Macaca mulatta: one gene and its partner. The protein of the gene in region 2 purifies or fractionates together with the protein of the main gene of each other region. This does not show direct contact. Links are inferred from orthologs where the notes say so. Each region holds a gene or a part of one and is shown on either strand. Other genes may lie near its edges.

Region 1 (7,292 bases), on a different chromosome or scaffold from region 2:
TTGGGTGCGCCTGTGCGTGAGCGGGGGGCGGGCTGGCAGTTTTGCGGGAAACACTGCTTCCACGCCGAGAGAACTCGCTTCTCCTAAAGATATTTTTGGGAAGGGAGGAGTTGCGGAGAGGGACGGGAGGGGAGAGTTGGGGAGACCTCAATTAATGCTTTAAAGATCTCTTAGAAATTAACAAACTGGGGAGTCTTGGAATCTGCTGTCAGAAGCGTGTTTTCCCCTCTCTCCTCTAACAAGCACTGACAGTCTAATTACTGTAGCTACAAGCAGCTGTCGAGGCAGCAGCCGGGGAGAGGAGGCGCCACAGGCTGGGCGCACCCGGCTGGCCCCTGCGCCCAGCCGAACCGCCGAAACGCGGCCCGACGTAGGGAGGATGGAGAGGGGCAAGGCCCCGCGCCGGAGAGCCCCGGCGAGCCAAAGGCGGGTCGGCGAGCCGGCGGACACGCTTATTGTTTCCTAAACTCTTTACCTTGAAGGTTAAAAGATGTGAAGAAAGGAGGGGACGAAGAGTGGGAAGAAAATCTTATAAGCTTCCATCCACCCCTTTTCTACCTCCTCGAGCTCTCCCTCCCTCCGTGTTGGTAAAATAACCACGCAACCCGGGGCTGAGGGGGCGGGGTGAGCCAGGCTGGAGTGTAAGAAAGCAGATGTCCCCGCTGGCAGCAGCCTCAGCCTCCGGGGAAAGCTGCACCGGGGGGGCCCTCCCGAGGACATTCACCTCCCACTTCTCAGGCATCCCGCTCACAACTGCCTCGCCTCGGCGGGGGTGGTTTTTTCAGACTCGGCGTTTCGCGTGTGCAGCTTTTTTACCTGGGAGCTGTTCTTACCCGGCCACGCTTAGCAGATGCCAAAAGCCAGCAGCCCCTGCACGACTCAGTCAAGAGACAGAGGGAGAGACCTGGCGGGTGCCCACTCCACCTTTAGAGCGGTGGCCCGCGCTTCCTATGTAGAGCAGGGCGGGGGCTGCTCTCCAGGCCGCCTCTCCTGTGGCCCCAAAGGGTCTCTGTCCCTCACAACGTGGAGCTTAGGGTGCCGCTGGAACGCAAAAGAAAACCGAGTTTGCTAGTCCTGCTAAAAGTGGTGGGGGCGGGGAAAGGATGGGCTGGGGAGGAAGGTCAGTAGTACACTCTGAGTCACTTTCTGGGCCATAGACTTTCCTGTGGTTGTCAGCAAGCACTTAGTAGATGTCAACTGTGTTGAGAGGAAGTCTTCCCATCTAGAAAAGGACAGGGGAAAAAAAGGATCCCCTTTCACGAGATAGGTACAGTGGTATCTTCTGGCTGGTACACGCTGGGAAGTTTTTATTTTTAATTTTGTGTGCGTGTGCGTGTGTGTGTGCGTGCGTGTGTGGAGAGGGGAGGCTGGGTGGGCGGGAGGTGGGGGAAGGGAAGAAACTTGGATAATTGTCTAGGCATTTCCATTCAGCCCTAGTGGCAATGAAAGAAAGATGTACATGCCTCAGAACCCTTCGCAGTGAATACCTAATAATTGCTGTCACCTTGGTGAGGAAGATGTCAATATGATGTGCTTGGCACTGGGAGAAGTCGAGGCACCACTCTCATTCTTCCACAAGTTAAGGTTCTTCACTGGGGCACAGAGGTCTGCTCAAATTCCCCCACCCCACACCCTCCAGTTTAAAGCACTTGCTTCAAGAAGGCTTAAATTTTTGAGGGTTGCAAATCAATGCTTACTTCATAAAATGGAAGCCATGCCTTAAACACTTTTAAGAATCAGGGGAAAAGAGACACCTAAAAGGCGAGAATCATAGGGAATAAAAATGAAAGGGAAGTCTCATTTTAAACAAATTTTGCAGCCTTCTGAATTTGGTATCCACTCTCTCAAATGTCTTTCAGTGGCTATCAATCAGGCTGCTAACAATGAATAACAAATTTCTCAACAAGAATATGAACATTTCTAATCTAAGTTAACAAATATGGATAGTCCTTGTAGGGTTTTATATTTGCTCCCATTAAAAACAAATGTTTCTTTAGAAAGTTGAGTTTGAAAAATAATTCTAAAATTCAAAGTGATTCACTAATTGTCAATAAATGCCACCAAATCTGGTCATCACCTTTCTACTAGGTTACTGAAAAGAAAACAAGAATTTTATAAACTTCCCTAAAAATGTGATTCCTTCCTTTTTTTTTTTATATCAAGAACAAAGGACACACTACTGATCACAACATAAGTACCTCTTAATATTTAATTTCATCATGTAGCTATACACATAGTAAAATTAAAGCCATGTATATTATTTTAAAAATCTTAAGTGTTTAAATAATTCTACCAGTTGTTTTATCACTGGACAAGAAATGTATTAGGTTTGATATTTACAAAGATGTTTATGTTGTCTGCTATTTTCTATTATAGGTTTATTTAAAGAATATCACCTATAGCATAAATAAATTTTTCAATAAAAACAAAGAAAACCCTAGAAACATTTGACATCACCAAATTCAACAGCTCTCACTAGAAATCCAAGCAATAAACTTAGATATTTGAAATAAACATAAATTATGATTATATAACTAAGTCACATATGTAATTTTGAATTATAGTAATAGCACTGTAAACATGAATACAAAGGATTGCAGTTTTATGCAGTTTTTTTTTGTTTTTCTTCTTTTAGGCTTATTTCTCCTTGAAAGAATAGAATGATCTTTTAAAAAAATGAAAGAGTTATACAGTAAATCTAGAAAACAATTCAAATAGCTGTGAAACTAGATTTTCCTATAAATGATCTTGAATTTAGTTTACAATCAAGTATTTATAGTATTACAAACCCCAAATCATCACATAGAACTTGGTATGTCTGTTTTCAAATGTGTCTTAAGTCTCTCCATTGAAGTGTGAATTAAGATGCCGAAGGAAATCCCCTCTGGATGTAATGGATGGTGGGAAAACTGCTTGACAGAATTCACATACTCGAGGTATATGCAGTTCTGAGTCTGTGCCACTTAGTACCACCGAGTCACTGTTTTGATTAGGAAAGGGCTTCCAAATGGGCTGCAGGAAACAAACAAAAATATCTGTTACTTATGTTTAAATTCAAATAGCACTGGACTTCAAATTTGAATTTTTGAATGAGTTATGTATGAGCATATATATTTAATTCCCTAATATAAAAGCAAATTACTTTTCCATGAAGTTAGCATGAGGACATGACTCAATTCTTGGTTTCATAAAAGGGACAACTAAACTTTGATTAAAAGCCACTTGGGACACACACTTATGCATTTTATCATATTTAAAAAGATTGCAGCTTTAGCATGCAATTTTTAATACCCAATGATCACAACGTGAGTAGTTTTGGAACAATAGTTAATACTCTGGTCTTTTAAATTAAATTCTGTCTTTTATTTTTTACAATAAAAACCTTAACTTATAGGGGCTTTATTAATTACACAGTACACAAGACATGATGTGTGTGTGCATTGCGTCTTACTCAAAATCAATTTCACTATTGTTTATAAGCAGATACAGTGAATACATCATACATGAATCAGCATTATTTTGATTTTTAAAAAGAAAATTTTCCTTTTAAACTACTGAACAAATTTCACTGATCAGTTATCTTTTATTTGTTTTTAAAAATGCAAATACTTAATCATTCAACAAAATCTAACACATGCAGTGTTTTGACTTCTTACTTTGCTTCTGTTATATAATAGGTAGTTTGCCCTTACTCATTCTTGTGGCTGAATAAAGTGAAACTTGTCAATAGTTGCCTGGTTAAAGAATTATGGCAAGTCATAATCTAATAGAACCACCTCCACTATAACCAGCACATAAATACCCTTTCATAACTGCATTATTCTTTTTTTTTTTTAAAACTTCTAGAAGGACAAGAAATAGCATTTGGCTTAATAATAGCTACACAATAGATGTTTGTTAACTGGAAAATATTTCCCTGAATTGTGTAAAACAAATTATTTTTTAAAATTTCTTTCTTATGTGGACACAGGTAAATTACTCTGACACAGCTAAATTCTGGTATTTTAATCACCTCATAAAGTCAAATTTAAAAAGACCCCTTATCCTCCTATTACTAATATGTTTTTAAAGTCACACAGCCTAGTCTAGCACCTGACAAGTGTTACTGTTATTTCCCCTAACTTCTTTCATTCTGGCTAACCAATCATTTACATAAACAGTATATTACCGATTGAAGCATTTGGGTTTCACGACATCACTGTCTTCTTATAAACAGTTTACTGGACAGCTGTGTACAATTGGTATAAATATACAACGTCTGTCTAGGCACCCAGATACATTCAAATATCAGTATGGAGGACTTATAATAATGCTGACTCAATTCCTTTCATAAGAAATGTCAATTTTATTACAAAAATAGTAATATTTAAAACAAATGTTATAAAATTTAAGGTAAAATAACTTTCTTTGGAAAAACTTCTTTGGTAAAAGTAGTAAAAACTGTGAGCATACAAGCAAAAATCTAGTTAGAGTTAACTTGAGTCTAATTTTAATGTTTTCAGTTTTAAACAAAAAAGTACAAATCACTGTAATGGGAAATTGATATGGCCAGAAATAAAAGATTATTAAAGATAGTCCTTATTTATATAAAATAGCAAGAAATTAAATCAGAAGCAATTTAGCTTCTAAATTTGGTAAGCCAATCTTCTGCTCCCAATTTACCTATTAAGTCCATATTCATTTTTCTCTATTAAGAACTTTTAGTTCAGATTTGATCTCTTCATAGAATTTAGTTGGGATCCCACTCACTGACTCAGCAAAGTAAAAAAGAAAATCACATAGAACAATAATAATCTGATACACTTTAGTCTTGGTTATGATAGCTGAATATATAAAATAGATGTTTAGTAGTAATGATTGATATAAAGTAAAATTTTTAAATATGCAGCCAAAAATTTCACTTCTCTTTGTTACTATCTACAAACAACTCAGGATTAAAAAAATTATTATTATTATTATTATTATTATTATTTTGAGACAGGGTCTTGCTCTGTCACCCAGGCTGAAGTGTGGTGGCACCATCACAGCTCACTGCAACCTCGAACTACCTAGCTCAAGCAATCCTCCCACCTCAGCTTCCCAAGTAGCTGGAGACAATAGGCGCATGCCACCACAACCAGCTACAAATATCTATATATCTATATGTATTTGTAGAGACAAGTTCTCACTGTGTTGCCCAGGCTGGTCTCAAATTCCTAGGCTCAGTCAATCCTCCTGCCTCAGCCTCCCAAAGTGCTGGGATTATAGGCATGAACCACCGTACCTGGCCCAACTCAGGAATTTTGTACTTATACTAGCTTGTATAATACTAGCTTTATTAATACAAATAAAATAGCTTAAAATGTTTTTTAAAAAACTCACTTTAAGAAATATTCTTTCCATCCTAAACTGTAACATGGTCTTCAAAACAAACTAATTTCTTTGCTTTTTCTGCTAAAATATCAATTATCTAACCTTATGCCCCATGTCTTGTGACAACTCAACACTAATTCTCCTGAATTTTTTAAGCTGAATACTTTTCCATCAAGTTGTAATCACATACCAGCTGTTTCCCTTGCTGTAGTATAGAAAGCAAATGTACAATGCAGGGTGCCATCTACTGAAACATGAATGCACAGACTAGTAAAAGAACAAGCAAGACATATAATAGAGAAAAAAGTAACAAGCATTAGAACTGATGCACTTCACAGCTCCACAGGAATTCTACTTGCAATAAATGAAATTGTTTAATTTGTTTCATTTAGTAGCAACTATAACAGAGACTATGATGTGAAATAAAGTATAATGAACAAGAACCTAAGTGAGGTTATAATTAAAACTTATTGTCAGCCATGCCTAGTTTTTCCCACTACTAAAATATACCACAGCTTGACAACTGCCTTCTTTGCATGCTGATTTAAGTCTATAACCTATAAGTGTACTTAAAGCAAAAGGGTATTAACAACTTTAAAAAAAAAAAAATCTCAAGGCAAAGAGAAATCAGACAAATGTTTGCAAGTTACATAGACATTTACATCAATCTATTTTCATAAGCTTCTGTTTTTTGTAAAAATTTTATAGTTTTCATTTGCTTTCAGACATTAAACTTTTTTTTTAACTAAAAGAATCATTCTGTGATGGAACTTGAATCTAAAAGGGAGGGCAGGAGTGGTTTGGGGGACATAAGTCTGTGAGATTTAGAAACATTGAATAAAATATCTGATATCATACACATGCAGAGACTATTTTAAAAATATACTAGGCTACATGTTCATTTCCAGATTAGCAACCAAAACCAAAACTAAACCCTACAGATCTACGTACTATATAACTGAGGATATAGTAGAAGTATTCATTGAAAGATAGTTCACTTATGTTGATAAATAGGAATGTAAGATGCAATTATTTACATAAGATCGTGAATTCTTATAAAGATGAATATGATATACAGAAACTATTAAATAAAACAGCATTTGTTTCACACTATGAAATTTAATAATCTTATTAATCCTGAGTAAACAAGCTTTGAATAAGGAACTAAGAAAGTGACACCACAATAGATACGGATAAGGCTTAACATGAATTTTTAAATGACATAAATTCTAAGATACTTTACAATAGTTTTACCATATTCAGCTTTTCTAATTTCATGTCATTTATTATAGGACTTGTTTTTCTGAAACCCCTAACTTTGGCTAGACAGTAGTTTAAAAAGGATGTCAGATAACGTAAAAGAGATGCATATCTGTCCATGTATGGCAAAATGTGTGTTCACACATAATAATATATTTGTTAACGCAAAACAGTTACCTGCTGTGGTCCTCGGATAGCTTTTCCTGGGGAATCAAGTGAGGGAAAAGGTGCATCAGATGGGTCCAGAAGTGGGAAGGTATTTACATATAATGCATTATGGTCTCCAGGTGGCAAACACGCAGCTCTATCCAGAGTTGTCCTGATACAAGTGTTTACAAGATTTGAGGGCTTTGTTTTGTCAGTTGTTTTAAGGTTTTGTATAGCTGAAGCTATGGGGTCAATTCCCTGAATTTCAAATAAAGTTTCTTCTGTTTTAACAAAGTTCCCTGGGTTGTCTCTGAACTCCGTATTAAATTTCTCTTGGCACATTGCCTCAGACGTGGCAGGACTAAGGATGCCGGGTCTCTCTGGAGTGCTATGTAAGAAAGTCGAGTCATTGTCCATAGGTGGAAACTTGACATTGAATTTAGAAAGTGATTCAAAAGAGGTGTCTTCCTCATCTCTGCACAGTCCTCTTGGTGTGACACATGTGATGGATGGTGCACCTCTATTTATATCAT
Region 2 (8,729 bases):
TATTGTGAAAGACACTCACAGGTAAAAACATAATCTATATGTATGATTCCACTTATATGTGGTGCCTAGAGTAGTCGAATTCATAGAGACAGAAACAGAATGGTGGAGCAGGGAGCGGTGGCTCACACCTGTAATCCCAGCACTTTCCGAGGCAGAGGTGAGCAGATCGCTTGAGGTCAGGAGTTCAAGATCGGCCTGGCCAACATGGTGAAACTGGGTCTCTACTAAAAACCGTCTCTACTAAAAATACAAAAAAATTAGCCAGGTGTGGTGGCGGGCACCTGTAATCCCAGCACTTTTCGAGGCAGAGGTGAGCAGATCGCTTGAGGTCAGCAGTTCAAGATCGGCCTGGCCAACATGGTGAAACTGGGTCTCTACTAAAAACCGTCTCTACTAAAAATACAAAAAAATTAGCCAGGTGTGGTGGCGGGCACCTGTAATCCCAGCTACTCAGGAGCCTGACGCAGGAGAATCGCTTGAACCTGGGAGGTGGAGGTTGCAGTGAGCCAAGATCATGTCACTGCACTCCAGCCTGGATGACAGAGCAAGACTCCACCACAAAAAAACAAACAAAAAAAGAAGTAGAATGGTGGTTGCCAGGATGCTGGGGAAAGGGGAATGGGGAATTAGTACTTGATGGGTAGACAGTTTCAGTTTGGGAAGATGCAAAGATTCTGGAGATGGATAGCGGTGTGATCGCAGAACAGTATGAATGTACTTAATGACACAGAACTCTACACTTAAAAATGGTTAAGATTGTAAATGTTATGTTATGCCTATTTTATCACTATTTAAAAAAAATTATCCAGGCCAACCCCTCCTCATTTTACAAATGATGTCTCAGTTCACACAGCTACTCAATTACAAACACAATTAATCTCTAATTTTATTTCTACTAATAACACTGCCCCTAAATTCTTTCTAGGCTACAATAAAAAGACACTGCTAGAGATAAAGTGGCTAAAAAGAGGTAAATGACAGATTATAAAAAAAGAAAATTGTACAGAAAAAAAAACTTACAATTACAATTAAAATGGGCAGTCAGATGATGGAGTCTCGCTGTTACCCAGGCTGGAGTGCAGTGGCATGATCCTGGCTCACTGCAGCCTCCACCTCCTGGGCTCAACCGATTCTCCTGCCTCAGCCTCCCGAGAAGCTGGGACTACAGCCGTGTGCCACCATGCCCAGTCAGTTTTTGTATTTTTAGTAGATACAGGGTTTCACCATGTTGGTCAGGCTGGTCTTGAACTCCTGACCTCAGGTGGTCCACCTGTCTTGGCCTCCCAAAGTGCTGGGATTACAGGTGTGAGCCACTGCACCCAGCCAAGATATGCTCTTAATATATGCATTTTTACATTTGCCTTATTCCTGCATCCATTCTATGTCCCTTCTTGTTTTCCTGTTCTTACCTTTTTCTAACTTCTTTTTAATCTATTTTATATGTCTTTGTAATCCTTAAGTACTGTTTAAAAGAAGACGGGCAATAAATAAAATGTATGGCTATACTTGTAACTGACTTACAAAAGTACACAGAAGACTGCATAATATTTTTCAACAAAACAATTAAAGTTAAAATGTGATCTTTTAGAAGGATAATTCCCCAGCGGCACAAAAGAGGCTTTGTTATAATTTAACGGTAAACTAAATCATGTAAGCATGCCTACTTCTTTTAAGCAGAGTTTTTTGTACAAATACCTTTTTCAAAACAATTACCTTGGAAACCACTTGGCATGTTCTACCCATGGATCATCTCCAGATTCCCAACACCTCAAGCCGCCATCACAACAAAAGCATTTGACATCATCATTGCGACCTTCAAGAAAAAAAAAAAGACTAAATATTGAAAACACATTATGTTCTAATATGTAAATCAAAATAAAATGATAAAATGTAGTTATTTGCTTCTTACCCACATAATAAAAACCAGCACTTGCAAGCTGCTCAGGCTGAACTGGAACACTGGATGGCCAGTACATAAACGTTCTCATTCGAGCTGCATGTGTCTGCATGCTCAGATTTGAAATGCTAAACCTCAGCGTTTCTAGAGAATTTTCCAAAAATGGACAGTTGGGAAAATGCCTCCGGTGTTCTGACATAGCATCATCCTTTGGTTCCCAGTTACTGAGCTTCCCACCACAGGCAAAGCAGGCTACCCTATCTCCAGGTCCTATATAATAAAAACCAGCTCTTGCCAATTCTGATGGTGACAAAAAAGTTAATGGCCACATATGGTAGGTAAGAAATCGGGCTTCTTCAGTACTCATTGCATAACTGTAGGGGTTAGTCCTCGATGGAGACAAGTCTTCAACTGCTCTAGAATTAAGAGGGTTTGGTGAAAGGCTAGAGTAAGAACCACTGAACAAGCTACTATGTTCCAAGGTGGGAGATAATGAATGTGCAAAACTGTTTCTCATTGGAGAAGTATTCTTAGAGGTGGATCCCAGAGTAGCTGAAACCAGATTCTGAATAAAGCTACAGCTAGGATATAGTTGTTTATGCTTTTCAATAGGACTGTCTCCTAGTTTCCAGTTATCCAGCATCAGGCCACAACAGAAGCATTTGACCTTGTCATTCACACCAGTATAATAAAAACCAGCACGAGCAAGACTCCTTTCTGAGACAGGAACGCCGGTGGGGAAAGTTGAATATGTAGACATTCTGTAGAGTTCACAGGAAAAGTCATACTTCATTTTTTGTTTGTTGCTGTTTGTCCAATCTGACAAGATCGTGCTATCTTCCATTATACTCTTAATGTTTTGATACGAGGGACCTGGGAAAAGTCTTTGGGAGGCAGTTTTGTGCATGAGTAGGTGACAGTACTGTTTGATAGCTAAAACAGTCACATGAAATTTCTTCACACAAAATAAGATTTTTACCACAAAAAGAAATCAATGATAGACTCTTACGTAGAATTCACTACACTTTCTTTACTGGATTTATCTCAGTTTATATTCAGGTAGGATGAGTCTCTCTCTGAATTACCAAGATACTACTTGGAACACAAGTCTTTGGGGTTGTAGTAACTCTTTTAAGTAATCTAAGTGCTATTTGTTCATAATCTTGAGTAATACTAACCTAAAGCCCTGAGAGGTGGATGCCCTTTTGAAAATGTTGAAACTCCTTGATTTTTCACAGAGATTTATATTCTCAAAATTCTAAGCAACTACAGAATACCTAAATTACTCCTTTTATTTATATTTGGTTACAAGCTATGAAGCCTGGGTAACAGATCAATTACTGATTATGCCACAAGGTAAAAAATTACATGCAGGCTTCTTTCCCTATAAGCACTTTAATATAATGTCCCCAAAAAATCTCATTTTATTCCAATAAACAAAAGTAATTAAAATCTTCATATGGTCACACTATTTAAAGGCTAAGTTCACACAGCTTATCACCATAGTATTTACATAAGCGGGCTATATTACTTCAGCTGACAACTTTTGGGGAAGTCAACACCCACAAGCTTTGTTGAACCTGTGCCTGTTATAGTGTTTGATGTCAAATGAATTTGGCTTAAAGTTCACAAACTATAAACTCTTCTATCTTTGTTAAATATCATTTGTATTTGTTTCTATTTCCTGCAGCATGTTGACTTTCTTCCTAACTTTGTATACCACTTTATTATTCTTGATCAACTGAAGGTATTTTCTCCATAAACTTAATTAGTTAGCCATAAAATTTCCACAGCACACTTTTCACACTGCATTTAAAAACTAAATAACCTGTTCATCATTTAAGGACTATTCAGCTATAATTATCAGTCATGCTGTAAACATTAATCAATTTGTCACAAGACACAACTTGTCCTTTCTAGTGTTATCAGAAACGCCTAACAAAATACTGTATTACCAAAAAAGTACTGCTTAGCATAACGTATCAGTAATCAACTCTACTAGCCTTCTTTCTGAAAACTCTTCAATGTTTTAAAAATATAATTCATACACAAAATTACACTCCATAGAATTCAAACTATATCCCTTTATAAAGCTTCGAGATCTCCAAAATGGGATTTATTACTGCAAGGGGAAAGGGAGAGGAGGATTCTTCAGGGCTGTAAATCTGAAAAGAAAAAACAAAAGGTATTTTAGAAAACCGTATTTGCATGCCAAATAGAACTTACATACTCTTCAATTTATTCACTAAAGTCTAAGAATAATTTACATTTTAGATAACACATCTTAATTTCCAGCAATTTGTCACAACTTTCTAACTGAAAAAGCTCTTAATTAAAATAAATAAATGCAACATACTCCCATAGCACTAACTATACGTGTCTTTAAAAAGCACAACTTTAGAGACAGATGGAAATTTTCACACAGGAAAACATTTTGTCCTTGCTCTCCTCCCCTTTTCTGACCTAAAGGTATCTTTGGCACTCTGCTGGAGGCAAAGGAACATTGGTGAAAAAGGCAGAGAGAGCGACAAGGTACTCCACTAAACCCTGTCAACAGCAGTACAGCAGTAATCAGACAGCAACGTTAGTTTGTAATATCAAGTCTCTCCGCGACTAGGAAAACTGCAGTAAAATGTACCACGAGTTCATTAATATAAACCCTTAAACTCTGCCAATCCCTTACAATTTCAAAGCAACGACGGTAGAAAACAACCGAAAACAAAACCTAACACAGCGGCCTGTGAAACAGTGGCCTGACGCCCACTGGCATGATTGCTTTAATTACACGCGATTTTTTATATACTATCTTTAAACGAAAGACTTTTATCTGCGAGCACCGTACTGCAGCATTCTCTTTATGCAAACTGCAGCTGGACAGGGGATAGGATGGAAGAGAAAAGAATAGAAACTATGGGATTTACCCAATAATTACCCAGAGTTGTTTCTCACAATACACAACAGACTACTGGAATGACAGAGCGCAGTGGCAACTATGAAATATGAAATATCACCGCCACCGAAATATCTTCGTTTCAATGTATTACATTAAAAGAACGCCGAGGGCTGTTTAAAACCTTGCAAAAACTGCGAGAAAACATCTTGGTCAAAGTCCAAGGGCCAGAAGAGTGGGCGGCGGCCAGAGGAGGTTTGAAAACAAGTCATATTTTAAAAACGGCTTTGACTGCAAGTCTTGAAGTTTGGGCTTCCGAATCCAATAAAACCTTGGCGAGAGTAGAAAGCAGAGAGCCCCCGGCGACCCTCGACCCTTGGCCGAAGGGCCTCTGGCCCCTTCCTTCCTCGCCCGGCCGCCACATCAGGGAAGTGGGCCCCCGCGGGCCCGCGCGTCCCCACCCTCCCCGCGCCGCCCGAGTCCGGAAGGAGCAGCACTCACCGCAGTGCGGGCGCAGCAAACAAGGAAGCTGCGCGGCAGCCTAGAGGCCTCCCCAGAGCCGGGAAGCGGCGGTACCGACAAGGAGACACGGCCGCCTCGGCTCGGGTCAGCTCCGGCGCTCCCGAAGCCCGCCGCCCCATCCGGGCTCACGCCGACGCACGATGACGTCAGCGCGCCCGGCCGGAGACTCGCGTTGGCAGCCGCGCGAGGGCGCCCGGGAGGCTGGGGCCGGAAAGCGAAACCGAGCGCACTTGCGGCCGTGGGGCGACTAACCGCCGGGAAAGACGCTGGGAGGCTCAGGGACCCCCGGCGCAACTGGACGCCCATCGGGAGTCGCGGGGTCGGCCCTTAGGGGAACGGGGACTATCCGTATCAACTCGGTGTTTGTTCGTTTTCTTCACCTTGCAGTTTGTGCCCCCTCCACGTTTCCTCTCTCTCTGTGCCTACCATTCTCCTGGGGGACGTGGCAAACCGTGAGCCGCTGCGTTTGACTCTTGGGAAACCCTGCGGAAACGCCCTGGCGCCGGTGGTTTTGCGCGTCTACCCTGTGTCACCTCAGGGTTATGATCTGGCCCCTGGCAAGGCTCCCCTAGTGTGATGCCTCCCCCGTCGAGATGACTGCATTTTGAGGATGGAGTCAGTCTGATGGCATTTTTTGCTCAAGTAAACAGTTGTAACCGTTTGTGTAGCATCAGCGTTCAACAGCTGTTTGTGCAAATCGAAAAAAGCGAAGCGTTGGAAAGTAGGAAGCATCTGATGAATAATTTTGACTCGATGAGTTTTACAATCAACTAGGTTATCTTGTTTTTAAACTTTTGGTTTTCTGTTCTGGAGACAAACAGTGCATATGCACTAAAGACAAAAGTGTCATTATTTCAGATGCTCATTGCCAGCAACGGGAACGGTATTGCAAGTCAGGCTTCACTCCCAGTATTTTCTGAATGTTTCAATAAAATGAAATATATACGTCCGCCTGTGTATTGGTGTACATGCACATATAATTGTACATAAACCACAGAGAAGCCCAAGGTTGTTTTTTTTTTTAATGCTTAGGTAATAGAAAATTTGTAAACAAACACCCTTGGCTTTTACTAGTGATGGACCTTTTGTATCCCTCCGCCATACTCCCCCAGTAGTGCCATAGACACAGTGGCATGCAGTAAATGTTTGTGCTATGACAGCCAACGAATGACTTTTGAAGTTGACGCTCTTTGCCCATTGAATCCAATGCTTGCTTCTCTCTGGGGAACTCCAAGGGGCAAATATTTTAAAAACTTCCAAATAGCGAACCACTTAATTAGGCAGCCGGGGGAATTCCAAGACCCTGAACCATTTCCCATTTCCTGTCCGTGTCATTTCTGCCTGCCAGTCAGTCACAGAACAGGAGGTCTACTGTTCCAATGTTAATAGTCAAAGAAAGTGAGTGTAACAGTTTGTAATACAGAGAAAAGAAATGCCATGGCTCCCAATGACTAAAAACTTCCAAAAATGCACGTGGGGCTTGGTAGTAGTTTAGTATTTAGTTCAAGTCACTATTTCTCGGAAAGTTACAGAACATTCCTAACATGTGGGAAAATATATATAGCAAGAATTGTTCATTCTGAACTCAAGTATTTCTCTTTTTCAGTTCTTGTCCTGACCAAAACAGTAAGATAATGAATATACTTAAGTATAGGGGAAAGCTTGCATTTCAAAAATTCAAAAGCCTTAGATATTTTTAACAAAAAATATATGTAATATTTAGGTATAATAAATAGTACTTCATAACTTTTATTCTTGTATAACTTTGTAGTCTAGTGTTACAGTTAGTTAATTCAGTTACCTGGTTATTCAGTTAATTTTTTTCGTTTTACTAGTATAAAGTTGCTGTTAATCTTAAAAAATAAGCTAGTATGTCTGCTACAGTTGCCATTCTAACGTTTTTCATATATATGTAGAAAAAATATTTACAGTATTTAAAACAATTTTGAAGAAGAAAAGTTAAGATTGGAAAGTCTTGTCCTACCAGGTAATGAGTTACAATAAAGCCATAGTAATTGAGACAGTCGTGTATTATTAAATGCACTAGGATGTACAATTAAACAAAAGAAGGAGATACAGAGCCCCAAAAAGAGACCCATATCAATGTATTTGGGAATTTGATATACTGGCATTATGTATTAATAAGAAAAGGATTAATTAGTCAATAAGTAATGCTGAATGAATGGTTATTCTAATGGAAAATAAAATTAGATCACTACCATATACTATTTAAAAATCTCTGCTTGATTTTTTAAAAAAACCCTCAAAAGTAAACAGCCATCATTATGAATCCAGGGATTTAAAGAAGTTTGGTGAGTTGTAATCCATCGCAGCTATTATCACTATTAGTGCTCAAGTTGTTTTATTTTAGGCCGGTGAGAGTTTACTCAGGTTGGCTCCTGAGTCTTTTTGATACTTTCCTAGTAGTCTTTGCTTTCCAGGCTCATTTTGTGTATTTCTTACTCCATACCCATAATAAGCCATTACTCCTAAGTGTCCTGGATCCTTTAGTGGGAAATGGTATTTAAAGAGCATAATCTGAATGTTTGTCTCCTGTGAGTTAGCGCTGCAAGGAACAACAAACAAAAAATGTTTGTCGTGTTCATTGTTAATGAGTTTGATTGTTTCTATACCTGTTCAATGGACAAAGCTGGTTAGTATGGGTTTGTTTTGGTTTGGTTTTTGTTTTTTAAATCAAATATATCACAAACTCATTGATACTTCCGATTCAAATTCAGGAAGTCAAGGTTTTATTTAACCTCTTTGATTGCACATCTGTAACTCCCTTTGTTTTGAAAATCCTTGGTCTCCCCTCTACTTTTTCCTTCCTGCCCCATAAGTAATGACTTAAACACTTTTTATGATTCATTTTTTCATTTTAAAAATGTAATTATGCATGTTTATACCTACCCTTTTCTTAGATAAATAATAGTAGCATACTTTTCTCCACCTTTTTTCACTTCATAATAAATTCTAGAGATTATGTAATACATATAGAGCTATTCCTCGTTTCTATATAGTACTCCGTTGTGTAGATGTGCCATAATATATTCAACAACATAATTCAGAAAGCAGCCAAAAACTGCTAGGGCCACGTCAAAGACTAAGGATCCAACCTGAATAAGCTCCCCAGTCATAGATAAAATTAGTACCATAATATATTCAGCTACTTCCCTATGGATGGACATCTGGGTGGTTTCCAGGCTTTTGCTATTACAAATAGTGCTGCAATGAATAGTCATGGGAACACATCTTATTTTAGGATATATTCCCAGAAGTTAGTTCAAATGGTAAATCCATATGTAAATTTGCCTAATATGGCCACATACCCATCCATGGGTATGCTGGTATTTTGCAATCCAACCAGCAATGTATGTGAGTGCCTGTATTTCCCACAACTTTATCAGTGGAGTAAGTTGT

What was found. Proteins that work in one complex are often made in the same cells at the same time.
Region 1: the proteins of BIRC2 (region 2) and TANK purify together in Homo sapiens (affinity purification with mass spectrometry; 4 studies listed by BioGRID and IntAct, with this or other methods). This does not show direct contact. The link is inferred for Macaca mulatta from reciprocal best matches to the Homo sapiens genes BIRC2 and TANK.

The regions. Positions count from the first base shown.
Region 1 is NC_133417.1:66,041,933-66,049,224, reverse strand, and holds the end of TANK (TRAF family member-associated NF-kappa-B activator), read right to left. Parts: coding exon 6,790-7,292; intron 3,013-6,789; coding exon 2,836-3,012; 3' UTR 2,198-2,835; downstream 1-2,197.
Region 2 is NC_133419.1:103,215,331-103,224,059, reverse strand, and holds the start of BIRC2 (baculoviral IAP repeat-containing protein 2), read right to left. Parts: upstream 5,435-8,729; 5' UTR 5,289-5,434; intron 5,272-5,288; exon of another isoform or gene 4,830-5,271; intron 4,063-4,829; 5' UTR 2,805-4,062; coding exon 1,910-2,804; intron 1,814-1,909; coding exon 1,714-1,813; intron 1-1,713. UniProt on the Homo sapiens protein: Multi-functional protein which regulates not only caspases and apoptosis, but also modulates inflammatory signaling and immunity, mitogenic kinase signaling, and cell proliferation, as well as cell invasion and metastasis.